2 linked regions of the Canis lupus familiaris genome follow. The protein of the gene in region 1 interacts with the protein of each later gene in a biochemical or structural test. Links are inferred from orthologs where the notes say so. Each region holds a gene or a part of one and is shown on either strand. Other genes may lie near its edges.

The links. The genes of interacting proteins can lie anywhere in the genome.
Region 2: the proteins of DDX39A (region 1) and SARNP form a complex in vitro, tested with the Homo sapiens proteins (2 studies listed by BioGRID). The link is inferred for Canis lupus familiaris from reciprocal best matches to the Homo sapiens genes DDX39A and SARNP.

The regions. Positions count from the first base shown.
Region 1 is NC_049241.1:48,593,226-48,600,976, reverse strand, and holds the start of DDX39A (ATP-dependent RNA helicase DDX39A), read right to left. Parts: upstream 4,835-7,751; 5' UTR 4,817-4,834; intron 4,768-4,816; exon of another isoform or gene 3,804-4,767; 5' UTR 3,653-3,803; intron 3,376-3,652; 5' UTR 3,291-3,375; coding exon 3,286-3,290; intron 1,261-3,285; coding exon 1,049-1,260; intron 915-1,048; coding exon 787-914; intron 1-786. UniProt on the Homo sapiens protein: Helicase that plays an essential role in mRNA export and is involved in multiple steps in RNA metabolism including alternative splicing. Regulates nuclear mRNA export to the cytoplasm through association with ECD.
Region 2 is NC_049231.1:550,038-557,906, reverse strand, and holds the start of SARNP (SAP domain-containing ribonucleoprotein), read left to right. Parts: upstream 1-2,606; coding exon 2,607-2,642; coding exon of another isoform or gene 2,643-2,882; exon of another isoform or gene 2,883-4,091; intron 4,092-4,758; exon of another isoform or gene 4,759-4,811; intron 4,812-6,487; exon of another isoform or gene 6,488-7,122; intron 7,123-7,869. Other genes in the region: ORMDL2 (ORM1-like protein 2), read right to left, coding at 1,056-1,058, 1,731-1,771, 2,198-2,882. UniProt on the Homo sapiens protein: Binds both single-stranded and double-stranded DNA with higher affinity for the single-stranded form. Specifically binds to scaffold/matrix attachment region DNA. Also binds single-stranded RNA. Enhances RNA unwinding activity of DDX39A.

The DNA.
Region 1 (7,751 bases):
TCCAAGTCCTGTCTCAGCCAGAGCTCATGCCACTGTTCTTCCTCAGGGGCTCATGCCCACTGGGCCCCTGCCCCTCCAGGGTGCCTGTCGGGCTGCTCCCCACACTTCCAGTCAATGGAAGGTCCAGTCCAGGTGCTCCACCTTCTCCCCACCCCCCACCTGCCATTCACTCCCTATGTCCCTCCAGCTAACGAGGCTTGTCTCATGCTGCCAGGATCCACAGGGAGACCTAGCTGATGAGATAGCCCATACTAACGGCTCCCTGGGAGGCTGTTCTCTGGCTGGCCCCTGACCACCTGAGAAGGAGGCCGCTCCTGCCTTCAGGTCCACGGTGCCAAGTGCTGTGACCACACCATAGCCTCCCACTGCATCTCCCTCTCCCCCAGTCACCCCTAAGGAAACAAGGGCTCTTGCACTCACACACAGCCCACGGATGTGTGCCCCAATGTGACAAAAGTACAACACAGGAATGCACCTTGATTCTCCTCTGACAAAATTCATGCATGAGAAAATAACTGTCAGCGACAACGATAGTAAATTCTCATGCAGTATAATCTCACCCGAGTAAACCTGCACAATCTAGAAAAGCACATGACAAATTAACAGCTATGTCTCTGGAGAATAAAACCATGGGCACTTTTTCAGCTTATCGTTTTGTCACAGCTAAGTACCATACTTAATTTTAAAAGCCCACAAATAACACAGGAACAGGAACTTTTAATGAGGGGAACCATAGCTATTGACGCCTCATACAACCTGGGCCCAACAGGGAGGGGACCCACCCACCTGTCCATTAACTGGCTCAATCTGCTGCAGGGTGGCCAGTACGAAGACCGCAGTCTTGCCCATCCCAGACTTGGCCTGGCACAGGACGTCCATGCCCAGGATGGCTTGGGGAATACACTCGTGCTGGACTGAGGGAGAGAGCACGCGTGAGCAACCAGAAACCAGATGCTCCCTGTGTGTAGGCTCCTCGCCAGGTGGCTGAGGAGACCACAGTGAGGGTGGTCAGAGGTGGTTCTTGGCAGGGAGAAGCAGGAAGGCATACCCTCAGATGGATGCTCAAAGCCACAGTCCACTATGGCCCTCAGGAGCTCCGGCTTCAGCAGAAAGTCCCGGAAGCCAGAGCTGTGGATGGAAACGTAGGAACCCTTGACATCTTTCTTGGGGGGAGCAGGAGTGCTCTCTGGAGGAGCCTGGGGCTCTTCATCTTCCTCATAATCCAGAAGCTCATTTTCCACATCTTGTTCTGCCATGGTGCTGAGAATAGAGGAGGGAGCCAAATGAGAAAACCTACCCATCGAGGGTCACTGAGGGAGAAGACTGCCCAGCACTGCAGTCTGTTAACACAGGCCCAAGAAAGGCAAGGCACTGGAGCCACCTTACAAGCTGGCACAGAAAGGACCCAGATGATGAAGCTGATGGCCATCACTCTCTGATCCCTTTCCCTTATTACCACCCACCCTCAGATTCCTGCAGAATATCCCACCAGCTCCACCTGGACAGCACCTCCCAGCCTCAGCCTGTCATGGTCACACCCTGCCCTCCTGAGCACCACCTCACCTTTCCCTGGCCCCCCGCCCTTCATGCCCACACCCCTTCACCTCAAGGGCCTCCCTCTGCTCTCAGAGCGAAATCCCCACACTTTCCTATGGCTTGCACATCCTCCTTGTTGGCCCTTGCAGCACACCTCCTTCCACACTACCCCTTTCAAACCACCCCCGGCCTTGTCTGGCTGCTCAGACTCACCAAGCCCCTACCCTAAGCTTTTCCAGCACACTGCCACCACCAGGAAAACTCCAATGAACCACCTCAGCCCATTAACCTAAAGGAGTTCCCTCTCCACCACTGCCCAAGGAGTCCACGGGCCTACACAAGGGAGGACCCTAGAGACCAGATGTGGCTGCCAGAAAGCTGGAGAGACTGGAGTCTGTGAGAGAGCAGAGTGTGCCCTGCCCCAGCTCCTCCTGCTATTTGTGGTCTGCACAAGGGAATAATTAAGTACTCTCACGAACAGGCTTCCCATTGGGCCCAAGCCAATAAAAGTAGAGCTGAGATGGTAAAGAGAATACAAAACTTGCTCACCTCCTGGCTTTATTTAATCCAATACATGCACAGCACCTACTGGATGTAAGCTACAAGGGACCCAAAAGTGAGATTATGGTCTTTTGTCCTCCCAACCCCACCCCAGCCTCCAAATCCAGAGCAAGGAAGTGGTGAAGCAGTCCCTCTTCTTCCTGAGCTGGATGTGGAGGGTCCTGGGCCCACTTTTTGGTCCTCCCTCTCTCATTCTCTCTGCGCCTTCATCCAGCCCCAGGGCTTTAATCACATCTGTGTGGAGAGGTCCCAAACTTATGTCTCTGGCCATAAGTTACCCAGATCCCCTCAACAACAGCCTGGTTACCCAGATGCCTCATTTACATCTCCCCTTGGAAGCTGGACTCAAAAGACCCAGAGCAAAACCCTCTGTTTCTTTTTTTTCCTTTATTTATTTATGATAGTCACACAGAGAGAGAGAGAGAGAGAGAGAGAGGCAGAGACACAGGCAGAGGGAGAAGCAGGCTCCATGCACCGGGAGCCCGACGTGGGATTCGATCCCGGGTCTCCAGGATCACGCCCTGGGCCAAAGGCAGGCGCCAAACCCCTGCGCCACCCAGGGGTCCCCCCTCTGTTTCTTCCTGCAGACCTGCTTCTCAAAAAAGGCAATTCCATTCTCTCACTGGCTTTTTCTCTCCTCCAGTCCAGTCAGCCCAACAGGACAATCAGGTCACCTCTCACCCCTGCCACCTCACTGGTCTCAAGCTACCTCTACCGTTCTTTCTTTTTATATATAAATAATCTCTATACCCAACACAGGGCTCCAACTCTGGACCCCAAGATCAAGAGTCATGTGCTCTTCTGAATGAGCCAGCCAGGTGCCCCTTCACCTTTCTTTTAAAATTAGAAGTTTTACTGAGATATTCACAAGCCTACTATTCACTCCTTAAAATGTACATACAGTTCACTGGTTTTCAATATTTTTAGAACGGTCAGAACTATGTGGAATGACCACTGCAGCTGGAGTGCATCACACATTTCGGTCAGGTCAAAAAGACCGGGACCCTTTACCTGTCTTCCCTCCCACCCCCACCCCGTTGGCAACAGCTAACCTACTTTGTTTTCTATGAATCTGCTGGTTTTGGACAGCTCATAAATGGAATCATACAATATGCCACCATTCATACAGCTTCTTTTACTTGGCATGTTTTGACATTCATCTGCTCACTGTGTGGTTTGCATCCGTACCTCATTCCTTGTCAGAGTTGAACATTCCCCTGTACAGGCATACCAGTTTATCCACGGTCAGTTGATGATTTGAGCTCCATCACCCTGTGCCTGGATTATGGGAATAGTCTCCTCATTGGTCTTCCCCTTTTCCATCCCCTTCCATCTTCTCTCCCCAAAGTGTAAAAGTTACATCAGAGAATGTCACCCCTCTGTTCAAAACCCTCCACAAGCTCCCACTGTGCTCAGAACACTCAGGAATCCTCACCATGACCCATCAGACCCTACATGAACCGACCGCCCCTCTACACTCAAACCTCACTTCCTCCATTGCCCTCACTCACTGGCCTTGTTGCTGTGCCTCAAACATGCCTCAGCACCTTTGTACCTGCTGTTTCTGCTGCCCAAAGTGGTCAGGATTCCCCTCACTTCCGTCAGGCCTCTGACTCCAGGACATCTCTTGCCAGCCCCGAGTAGAAAAGCACCCTCTTAAAAGTCAGGCCTGCCAGCCCAGAGCCTAAAGCACTCAACAGCAATAGCTGAATGAATAGAATTAGAATTCAGGTTTCAAGGCAAGGTTAGGGGCTAAAGCAAGCATATATCCTTAACTGATTCTTGAAAAAAGTAATCTGAACAGGGAGGGGTTATTTCTCAGGTAGCAGAGAAAAGAACAGGAGCTAGGAAAGGTCAGCCCCAAAGAAAGTACCAGGCCCTTGTGAGGAATGGAGAGCAAGACTGGCTGGCTGAAGCAGAGGTAGAGGACAAACTTGGGAAAGCTGATCAAGTCGAGGGCATTCACGCTTTATTCCCTAATAGGGAATCACTGATGAGATTATTTTTCACTGATGAGATTTTTTGAGTTGCGTGACTCAATTGCCCCAAGCAATTTACTCCAAGAGTAGAAAGATGAGTGCGGGCGAGAACAGCAACAGGGAAAACCAGTCACTAAGAATTAACCACAGTGGGGGTGTTATGAGGGAAGAATAAGGTGGATCATTCAACAGGGCAGGGCCACCTCTGGGGTAATCCCTGGGCAGAGAAAGCCTAGTCACCTACTCTGTTAAACCCGGGTGCCCCAAGAGGTGATGGTGCATTTTAGAGAAAAATACAGGTCAAAAGAAGGCGTTTTGTTATTTAGGGGGGCGATATTAAGGGGCGGCCCGAGTTTGACGAACAAGATTTTCTTGGAAGTGGCTACACAAAAATCTAAAGCTCAAAACAAATTGGAGGAGGAGAGGACGGTGGGGGTTAGTCCCACCCAGCGGGGGTGGCTGCGACGGCTGAGGCCCCCGGAGCAGACCAACTGGAAGGCTGACGCCCGAGAAGTGTCAATCCAGACACGCCCACGGGTACCCATTCCCTCTCAAAGTGCCTCCAGGGAAGACTTCCACCTCGGAGTCGGCCTCTGAGACATCTTTTCTGCTCTAAATCTCTGGAACCCCGAATTCCCTAAACACAGAGCAAGAACACAACAGAGTCCCCTGTCGTGGCTACAAGCTCGGGTTCCTCCCACCGCAACCCCAGGCCCTGGCGTCACCCCCCACACACACACCCACACCCCGAATCCCTCCCCAAACGGCCTAGGCAGTCTCCTCGAGCAGAGAGGATTCCTCGCCAAGTCGGGGTCGACCCGCGGGCCGCCATGACAGCCCCACTCCCGGAAGCGGGATGACTCCCCGCGCGCCAACAGCCACCGGCGCCCCCCCCCCGGGCCGCGCATGCGCCGTGGCGTTCAACGGCTGCTGCCGCGCGCGGCTGACGCCCAAACCGCTCCGCCCCCCCACCACTCGTCTCGCGCCCCCTCCTCTTCCTCTTCCCCTCAACCCCCGGCGTCTCCCCTCGCCCGCTCGCCCGCAGGTCCGAAGTCTCCGCACCGCGCCCCCGCGCCCCAGACCCACCGCTCACCTGCTTCCCCGTTCGCCTCCGCGTGCTGCTGCGAGGAAAGCCGTCCGACTCTGGTTACCGGCCGCGCGCCCCGACACGAGTTGCAGCGCTTCCTGCCTCCTACGTCGGACTGCGGGTCTGCTCACTGGACGGCTGGCTTTTCACTCAAGAGAGGCGGAAGCGGTGATTGGGTCCTGCAGGAGGCGTCTGGAGGCTATTGGTGAAAGCAGCAAACGGGGCGTGCCCCATGCCTCGGATTCATTGGTCAATCTAAAAGTAGGCGCCCTGGGCTGAGGCCGACGTGAGCCCGTGCGCTGCCACGCGATTGGCGGTTTGCCCTTGGTGGGCGTCGCCATGTTTAGTACTGGCAGCCGAAGCCGGGGAGGATTTACCCTGTGCGAGTATCTCGCGTTGCTGTTGCGTGGCTCCTACGCCTGGCTGTGGAATTCAGGGCTTTGGAAGGGAGCATCAACCCGCGGTGGCCTCTCGGTTCTCCAGGGTGGGGGCTCTGAAGGAGTCCTGAAAAGGATCGGAGACCGGAATGACTCCAGCGTGGAGGGGACGGTTTGCGCCGGCTGTGCCAGCTCCCCTTTGCTGAGAGTCTCGTCCTGAGTCAAATCGTGTGCAGGTGGCCATCCAGGCTCAGGCCACAAAACCCAAACCAGAAGGGTTTTCGTTATAAAGCTTTTTTTTTTTTTTTTTTTTTAAATTTTACTTTTCCCCTTGTATTACATTTTCCCAACTTTACCCACGTCCCATTGTCTCCCCTACCCCCGGTACTTTACTAAGGTAAATGTTATAGTAAAAAGAAAAAGTACACGGAGTTTTGAAGATTGACAGGCAAGTGACAGTTGCCCAGGGAAAATATAGAACATTTCCATCCCCGCAGAAAGTCCTGTTGTGCCCCTCTCTGGTGAACCGCACCCCTTCCCCCTAACCAGGCAAAAGACGATGTAGATTTCTATAATTCTGATCTTGAATTTCATATAAACAGAATCCTGCAATAGATTGTCGTTTGTACCTGGCTTCTTTTGCTCAACAAACTGTTGTTGGGATTTGTCTATGTGTTGCATGTATCGATAGCTCTTTTTCCTTGCTGAGTGGTAGTCCACGGTGTTGATACATGACAATATAGCCAGTATCGTTTCTCCATTCACCCGTTAGTGGACATTTGGTTGTTCCTAGTGTTTGGCCATTATCAATGAAGCTTGTACAAGTATTTTCATAAACATAAGTGTGCTTCTCCAGGGCATATGCCTAGGAATGGAATGGTAGGCCCTAAGTCATGTGTGTGTTCACGTTTAGCAGATCATGACATGCTTCGTCAGTTGTTCTGCTTTACACTCCAAGTAGACACTGTGAAAGTCCCAGTAACTCCCAATCCTTGCTTATACCTGGTACGGACAGTCTTTCTCAGCTGTGTTTTGATTGGGGATTTCGGGTGGTGGGGGAAAGGGAGCAGAGATAAGCTGGTCAAACATAATCCTGCCACAACATTCCAACCTCCCTAAGCCTCTGACACAGTTAAACCTTCCTCCATAGTTTTCCAGGAAGATCTAGCCTTTCAACTTCATTTAGTGTAAGCTATCTTGGAGTCAATATTCTAGACAACAGATTCAAAACTGATGTCACCAGAGATACAACTTCGGTCAAAAAACCGAATGAAGAGAAACCAGTCAATTGTGAGGGAGGCTTTAGGTAATATAAGGTAGATATTGTAGGTAATAATTATACCATAATGCTTACAGAGCTCCTCCTTTGTGCCCAGCAGCTCTAGGATGAGGATGAGGCATGCAAAATCTAAGGGGGCACCTGTCATCAAGATAAATAATTTTAGGGACCTCTGGGTGGCTCAGTGGTTGGGCACCTGCCTTCAGCTCAGGTCGTGACCCCGGGATCTGCTCAATGGGAAGTCTGCTCCCTGCTCAATGGGAAGTCTGCTTCTCCCTCTCCCTATGCTGCTCCCCCTGCTTGTGTTCTCTTTCTCACTTACTCTCTCAAATAAGCCCGTTATCGCATCGGGCTCCCAGTGGGGAGCCTGGTTCTCCCTCTACCTGTGTTTCTGCCTCTCTTTCAGTCTGTGTCTCTTATGAATAAATAAATCTTTTTAAAAAAGATAAATAATTTTAATCACTATTTTAAAACCACCCTTTTTATTTTTTATTTTTTTAAGATTTTATTTATTTATTCATAGACACAGAGACACAGGCAGAGGGAGAGGGAGAAGCAGGCTCCATGCAGGGAGCCCGATGTGGGACTCAATCCCAGGTCTCCAGGATCACACCATAGGCTGCAGGCGGTGCCAAACCGCTGTGCCACCGGGGCTGCCCTAAAACCACCATTTTTAAATAATAAAAAGCACTATTTTAAAATCAAAATTAGGGCAGCCCCGGTGGCGCAGCGGTTTAGCGCCGCCGGCAGCCCGGGGTGTGATCCTGGAGACCCAGGATCGAGTCCCACATCGGGCTCCTGGTGCATGGAGCCTGCTTCTCCCTCTGCCTGTGTCTCTGCCTCTCTTTCGCTCTCTCTGAATAAATAAATAAATAAATCTTTAAAAAAAATAAAAAATAAAAAATAAAATCAAAATTAACTTTTTAGCATAG
Region 2 (7,869 bases), on another chromosome or scaffold:
AGCCCTTATCTTTCCCACCTTTCCTGATTCAAAAAAATTTGCTCTTAGGGCTGGGCCCCGGGAGCCCCATTTTCCAATCTGTTCTCTTCCTGGAGTTGGGGAAAGGTTATATAGTTCTCAGGCTTTCAAGATACAGAAGACAATACGGAGAAGGAAAGGATGTTCTAGCCCTTTGGTCCAGTGTTATCCCCAGCCCTATCCCTCAGTATTTGTTGATGCCAAAGAGACGAACCCCATGGAATTGGGGTAACTTAGGCAGCAGTACGCTAAGCAATGAGGCTGTGTTGATGATGAAGTGAGCAGCATCATACTTGGTGTAGAAGCTGGCCAGGAGGTAGCTGGGGAGAGAAGAAATGCGTTGAGTGAAGTTGGCTTTCCCTATTCATATTTATGATCTTCCAGTGACTTCTATCTTAAATGACCAGTTTTACTGCGTGTAGTCCTAGAATATCTGAAAGTATTCCAGCTAAATTAACAGTATTTACTTTGGGGTTGGGGAGAAAATCAGCACCTTTAACCGGAGATTTAGAAGTTAGTGTTTTTGAATTGTTAACGACATGGCAAATGACAACTGAAGCCCATATGACTGTATGCCTATATGAGAGTTCCTTTGCTTCCATTCCCCACAGTTTTCACAGATCTATATCAGTCTGGCTTTCTTTATTCACTTCCTTTGGAAGTGTAAAACCATTTGGTTTTACTTGGATGTTTTTTCAGTCCTTTCTGCATTCCCATACCACCAAAGAGGCAGCAAGGAATGCTTGACTACTATTTCCTACTTTTTACTGCTCTCCCTAGATTTAGACCATACCATAATATCTTCAAAGGGTCTAAGAGAATAGTCTGCTCTTTTAAAGCTTTCCGGGGTGGGGGTGGGGGGTGTCTGCACCCGACACTTGGAGCATTTCCCATTATCTCCCCCTGGACTCACAGTACAATAGGAGAGATGCTGAGGAATTTGCGGGAGGAGGTAAATTGGAGCCCGTAGTCCATCTGTTCCCAGTGTGTCAGTAGCCGAGCCTTCCCTTGGTCAGGGGTCTCAAAGGGTGTCCCTTTCACTGTATGTAAGAAGACATACATAGCCTAGGAGGAGGGAAGGGGGCAGTGTGAGGAGGCAGAAAATAGTCCTTCAGCCCAGGAATTATGCGGAGATCCCAAAAGGAAGACAAATGATTTTGTTTTTGATTGGGAAAGGCCTGGGTTGGGTATAAGGGTGTGGTTTAGTGCTCACCAAGTTATGGATGACGTTGGTCAGGGTCCAGACAACAGGTATGCTGAAGAAGGGGATGCTGAGTAGAACCACATGCAGCAGTCCTACCAAGATGATGTAGGCCAGCCAGATGCCCCGGCTATTCATCACGCGAGTGTTGGGGTTTACTTCGCTGTGTGCCACCCCCACATTCATCCTACCACAATGGGGGATCAGGCAGGAGTCCAACTCAATTTCCTGTCAACCTCTCTTTGAGTTTGTTCCCACAAATTGTCTCCTGAGTAGTCCAAATCCCCTGAACTCCACTGGGAAGAGCTTCCCCACTGTGCACGAAGGAAAAACTGAAAACTTGGGGAAGAAAATTTAAAAGGCGAGACAGGCCCTCTTTACTCTTACTCACTGTGATCCTTAAAGTTCAACCGTAACCTGAAGGGGTGAGCCTAGGCTTGGGGCAGGGAGTCCTGGCAGCAGGGGAAACCAGGAACGCGGGGTGAGCAGACAAGACTCCTTTAGTCCGCACCTTCCTTGGGGGCTTGCCGTCGTTTCTCTCATCCCCGTGGCCTGTAAGCAGGCCGCGTCCCAATCCCTTTCTCAAGAGCGGGGCGCTGCCCAGTATTTCCCCTCCTGGCTTTTCGACGGAGCTAGGAAGGGACCTGCGTGCAGCATCTCGAGAGATGGAGCCCTGTCCCCGATTCCAGGGGCGGCCCTGATCATCTGAACTTGGCCCTTTAAAATCGTGCTTGTCGACGCCGAGTTGTGAAGCCGATCTGGCCAGCCCGGCTTTCCTTAAAACTCCCCAAACCCTGGTGTTGAGCCCGCCCCGCGCGCCTCCCGGCTTCCCTCTCGGGCGTCGTCCGTCGGTCGGCCTCGGGGCTCCCTCAGGAGCTCCTCTCCAGGTTCTTAGCCGACGCTCCAGGCTTTCCCGCCCCCGCTTCTCGCCTCCCCGCGTTTCTCCTCAGCCCCCTTCCAGGTCTTGGGGGCCCCTACCTGCGGCTTCCCCAGCGGGTCCCACTCGAGGCGCGGCGTCCGCTCCCACACCTGCGGTCTCCAGGAAGCCACCGCCCCCGCCCAGCCGCCCTCCCCCTATTGGTGGAACGCGGTCAGCGCTGCCGCCACCCATTGGCTGGCAGTTTGCGACGGGGCCGCGCGATTGGCCGCCGTTTCCGCCGTTCGGACCGCGCAGGGCCCGCCCCTCCCCCGCCCCGCCTTCGGAGAGAGCCGGGGGAAGCCGCCGGCCCGGCGAGCGCGACGTCCGCTCTGGACTAATGGGAGGGGTTGGTAGTGTGAGGCGGGAGTAAGAGCCACCGCGATTGGTCCGCGTGGCTCGCGGCGGCCAGGCGGGAGCTCCGGGAAGCGGAGGCCGCGGGCGGGGGTGGCGGCCTGGAGGGGCGGCAAGATGGCGGCGGAGACGGTGGAGCTCCATAAGCTGAAGGTACCGTGAGGCGGGGAGAGGCTGCCTTAGGCGTTCTGGGGACTGCGTTCTGCCGGCCGGCTTGCGCCTTTTACTACGTGTCCGCCTTGCCGGCTTTTCCACTTCGCTTCCTGGCTCCCGCCGTAGTTCTTTTCTTTTGTGCCTCTGGTCTTGCCCACTACGCCTTCCCGAATTTCCCACTTCTCCGTATGGTTTTGCGGCATCTTTGCTATTTCGGCTCTTTCTTCGCCCTCGTATCATCCGTCCCTTCCCCGCCGGGCGTGCAAGTGCTTCCAACCTGCTCCGGTCCCTTCTCGGTTCTCGTCAGAGGTGCATTACGTCAGTGGTCCCCCCTTTTGCCCCGCGCTGGAGCCAGGACCCCTTTTTTTTTCCTGGGTCGACGCGTTCCCGTCCGTTTTCCCAGGCCGGCATTCCCGTCCGCTGATGACGGCAGCTTTGTGTTTCTCCCCGTCCGCCTTTCGGACACGAGAACGCGCCCACTCCTTTTTTTTTTTTTTTTTTTAAGTGGGGTTACGCCCTCGGAGCTAACTTTGAAATCTGAGGAGAGGCCTCAGGAGCTAGGCCTCTCAGACGCCAGCGACCTCGGGGACCTCGGGTCGTGAAGGCACAGCACCTGGGATCCAGCAGTCCTCGGATTCCCCGCCGCCGCCGCCGCCCCCGCCCTGTCCTTACCAGCGGGAACACTGCTCACTCTTAACTGTGATGTTTTGGGAGAGCCCTAGGTTTCTCTCTCTCCTTTTCATCTCGCGGAGGGCCCTGCATCTCGTGGTGTCACCACTGGGTGACACTCAGTCACAGGGCGGTTTTAAATGGTGTCTTTTGTGAATCTTGGTAGCTTCCGCACATTGGGATGATTATTTTCCTGAAGAAGAGAATAGTTTATTTTAGGGTCAGTTGAGAGAATATCTTGATTACTTGTCCATTTGCGGCTTCACAAGTAGTTTTCCCATCAGGTACTTTGGTCCCATCATCCTGGGAACCTTGGACAAACCAGGCTGATTTAGCCAAAGCTGTAAACTGATCCTTTAAGACTTGAAGAGCTTTTACAAAGGAGTAAGGAGAATAAGGGTGGGGAGGGCACATGCTCGTTGGCAGCAGTTAGCCTTTCTGTGAAATCTGATTTTTCACCCATGGATTCTGAAGTGGATTAGTGGGTTTTCACGTATCCTGGAGTTGCTGTTAAGTTGGTAGCACTGAAACATGTGGGTTATATCAGTGGTCTCCTAAGTCGAGAAGTGAAGAAAATTGAGTAACCACCTCTGTTGTATGTGTTAAATAAATTATGTTCTGTGAAACTGTTAGGTATGTTATAAAATATACACAGAAAAGAAAGTTGGCTTTTTTAAAGAGTTTATTCATTTATTTATTTCAGAGAGGGAGAGTGTGAGCAGAGGGAGAGCGATAAACAGACTCCAGCCTGAGCGTGGCGCGGGGCTCAATCTTACAGCCGTAAGATAACAATCTGAGTTGAAATCTAGCATGGGACCCTTAACTGACTGAGCCACCAGGTGCCCTGAAAAGAAAGTTTTGAGTGAATGAGACAAAAAGGAAATATGAGTAGGAGATTTAATATTTTCTTTTTATTAATTCCACTTTTAAAATACCCGGAGTAAGTCACTAGTCTTGAGACTTGCCTTTATGGATTTTATGTTGGTTTATGGAGTGTTTCTTTCCATAAAATCTGATGGCCTGAAAAGGATGCACCCTTTTTTTTTTTTTTTTAAAGATTTTATTTATTCATGAGAGACACAGACGCAGAGACATGGGCAGAAGCAAGCTCCCTGTGAGGAGCCGGATGTGGGACTCTATCCCAGGATCCCAGGGTCACACCCTGAGCCAAAGGCAGATGCTCAACCACTTAGCCATCCAGCCCCCCCCCCCTTTTTTTTAAATATGTATTTCTTTTTTAGAGAGGGAGGGAGGGGGAGATGGAGAGAGTCTCAAACAGACTCCCGGTTGAGTGGGGAGCCAGACATTGGGCTCAGTCTAATGACCCTGAGATCATGACCTGAACTGAAATCAAGAGTCGGAAGCTTACCTGATTGAGCCACTTAGGGTGCCCCTGAAAAGGATTCACTTTTTTAATCACATTTGCTTGTCTTTGCTTTTTCTCTAGAGCACTTCTTAACCTTTTGGAGGTCACAGATATCTTTGAAACTCTGATGAAAGGTATGAACCCTCTCCCCAGAAAAAGGCATGTACATATACTTTGCATGCGATTTGAGGGGCTTCATAAAACTACTTTGTAGCCCTGAGGAGTCCGTGGACCTCTGGTTAAGAACTTATGCCTTTAATTCTGACTTCCAGGACAGTTAATGTTTGGTTCCACTGTTGATCTTGATGAAGTGATCCTGACTTTGGGGTTGACAAGAGTTTTATCTCTTTTTTAAAAACTCTTTCCAGTTTTATAAAGAGCTTTTGTATGGAGTCTCGGAAAAGAACAAGCTTTGAAATAGGGAAAAATATCTGAATTCTTATATAAGTCCACATCAACAGCACATTTCTGAAGTTTTGTAGAAATGCAGTCATTCTAACACAGTTGGAGAAAAAAAAAACAATGTGGGTGGAAATGTCTTGAACTGTAGTGGTACCAGATTCCTAGTCAACGGTGAAAAAAGGGATTACTGCTGAGGAGAGAACCACAAGGGTGTATAGTGTCAGAGTGTTGAGAACAGTGAGACATTTGTAATATTGATGCTCATTTATGTTGGTGGTTGAAGATAGTTTGGAAAAAAAAAGGAAATGAACTGTGTGGCCATAAATGTAGAATGGAGTGATACTGAAAAGCATTTTAACTTGTGTAAGGTGGTTTGGTTTTTGTCATGTGGGCAGAAGATGAGGAGCCTTTGAAAATTTGAAAGGAAGAGCTGATGCAATCAGTTTGTATTCTTTTGGCAGTAAGGAGGATGGGGTCTGGAGAGAGAGATTTTACCAGTTATATTTTTATTATTATAATAGTTACTCTGCGGCTTAAAACCTTTTGATTATATTCCTACCAATCTCTCCAGTTTCTTTTTTTACACTTCTCATCACAGTAGCTTTATTTCATTTCATTCCTCAGAATAGCTGTATTCATTAATTACTAACACTATGTGGCATTTACTATGTGGCAAGGTCTGGTATATACACACACACACATATATATCAACTGATTTAATTTTCATAGTAACCCTGTAAGGTAAATGCTTCTATTATATCCATTTTTTAAAAATGAGAAAAATGGAAGCTCGGAGAGATTGAGTAACTTGCCTTAGTACACAGAGCTAATAATAAGTGGTGACTCAAATCCAGGTAGTCTGTCTCCAAAGTCATGTTCTTAATCACTGCACTACTGTCTTTCTTTACCTCAGAACCCAGAACAGTTACACATGCTTTAGGCTAAAGTGCTCCTGCCCGCTCCATACTCCCGTACCTTTGTCTTACTCAGGCATCAGTCAAATATCATTTACCCAAGGAGCCCTTAGGTAGGATAAGTTCTCCATATCCACACACATGATCAGACCACTTTTTAAATGCTTTCATAGGACCCTGTTCTTTTTTTTGTATTAAACATGTAGGGATCCCTGGGTGGCGCAGCGGTTTGGCGCCTGCCTTTGGCCCAGGGCGTGATCCTGTAGACCCGGGATCGAATCCCACATCGGGCTCCCGGTGCATGGAGCCTGCTTCTCCCTCTGCCTGTGTCTCTGCCTCTCTCTCCCCCTCTCTCTGTGTGACTACCATAAATAATTAAAAAAATATATTAAAAAAAAAAAACATGTATATGATCATTGGTTGCTTTATTTTCTTACTAGATTTTAAACTTCATGTGGGCAAGAACTCTTTCTCTTTTTGTTCATTTTTTTTAGTGTCTAGGATAATGCTTGATGGAGTGGGTGCTCAATCACTGTCAAGTGAGTAAACTTAGTAAGACCCGAAATAAGCTGGTGGATATTAGAATAGGAATGAATTTGAAAGAAATTTGGTATATAAAATTGTAAGTATAGATGAGTTAGATGTGGGAGGAATGAAAGATGAATCCAAGGTTTGAGTAGTCTAGGTTGAGAGGAGAAGCAGCCAGTTTTGTGTAGCAGAAAAGATAAGTTCAGTTTTGGGCTTAAGTGTCTTTGAGATTTGCACTTGGAGATGGCTGATAGTCAGTTGGAAATGTGGGCCTCCTTTTCAAGAACTGCGAGCTGATAGTAAAGGTTTGGTACATATTCAGAAAATATTTATGGAGTGCCTACCATGTGCCAGCTACCATAGGTTCTCAACGTATAGCAATGAACAAAGCAGACAAAATTCTTGTCATGGAGTTTATATTTTACTGGGGGAAAGCTCAGTAAATAAGTAAAATTTATAGTATGCCAAATAGTGATAAGATCTATAGAGAAATATAGGAACAGTGTTTGGTGGGTGTTAGGTGTACAGTGGGATTAAGGGTATTGACATTTTATTTTTTATTTTTTTTAAAGGTTAATCAAGTTTTTTTTTAATTTTTATTTATTTATGATAGTCACACGCAGAGAGAGAGAGGCAGAGACATAGGCAGAGGGAGAAGCAGGCTCCATGCACTGGGAACCCGAAGTGGGATTCAATCCCGGGTCTCCAGGATCGTGTCCTGGGCCAAAGGCAGGTGCGCCACCCAGGGATCCCGGTATTGACATTTTAAATAGGGTGACTACGGAAGGCCTTATTGAGAAGGTGATGTTAAATTAGAGACTCAGAGGTAGGAGAGTGAGTCTTATGCAAAGTGTTATGCGAGGACCTGATAGGTGATCATTAGGACTCTGGCTTTGACCCTTGAGATAGGTTACCAGTGGAGGGTTTTTGAATAGAGAGATGACATTCTGACTTTAATTTTTTTTTTCCCGGACTTAAATTTTTAGATCACTCTGGATACTTTGTGGAGAGTAAACTATAATGAGGTACCAGGGCTAAGAGTTACAGTAATCTGTATAAAAGACCAGAAAGGGGATCCCTGGGTGGCGCAGGGGTTTGGCGCCTGCCTTTGGCCCAGGGAGCCATCCTGGAGACCTGGGATCGAATCCCACGTCGGGCTCCCGGTGCATGGAGCCTGCTTCTCCCTCTGCCTGTATCTCTGCCTCTCTCTCTCTCTCTCTATCATTTAAAAAAATAATGATAAAAAAATAAATAAATAACCAGAAAGGATTAGATTCTGTATATACAATAGTTCCCCCCACCCCATTCATGGGAGATATGTTCCAAGACCTCCCAGTGGCTGCCTGAA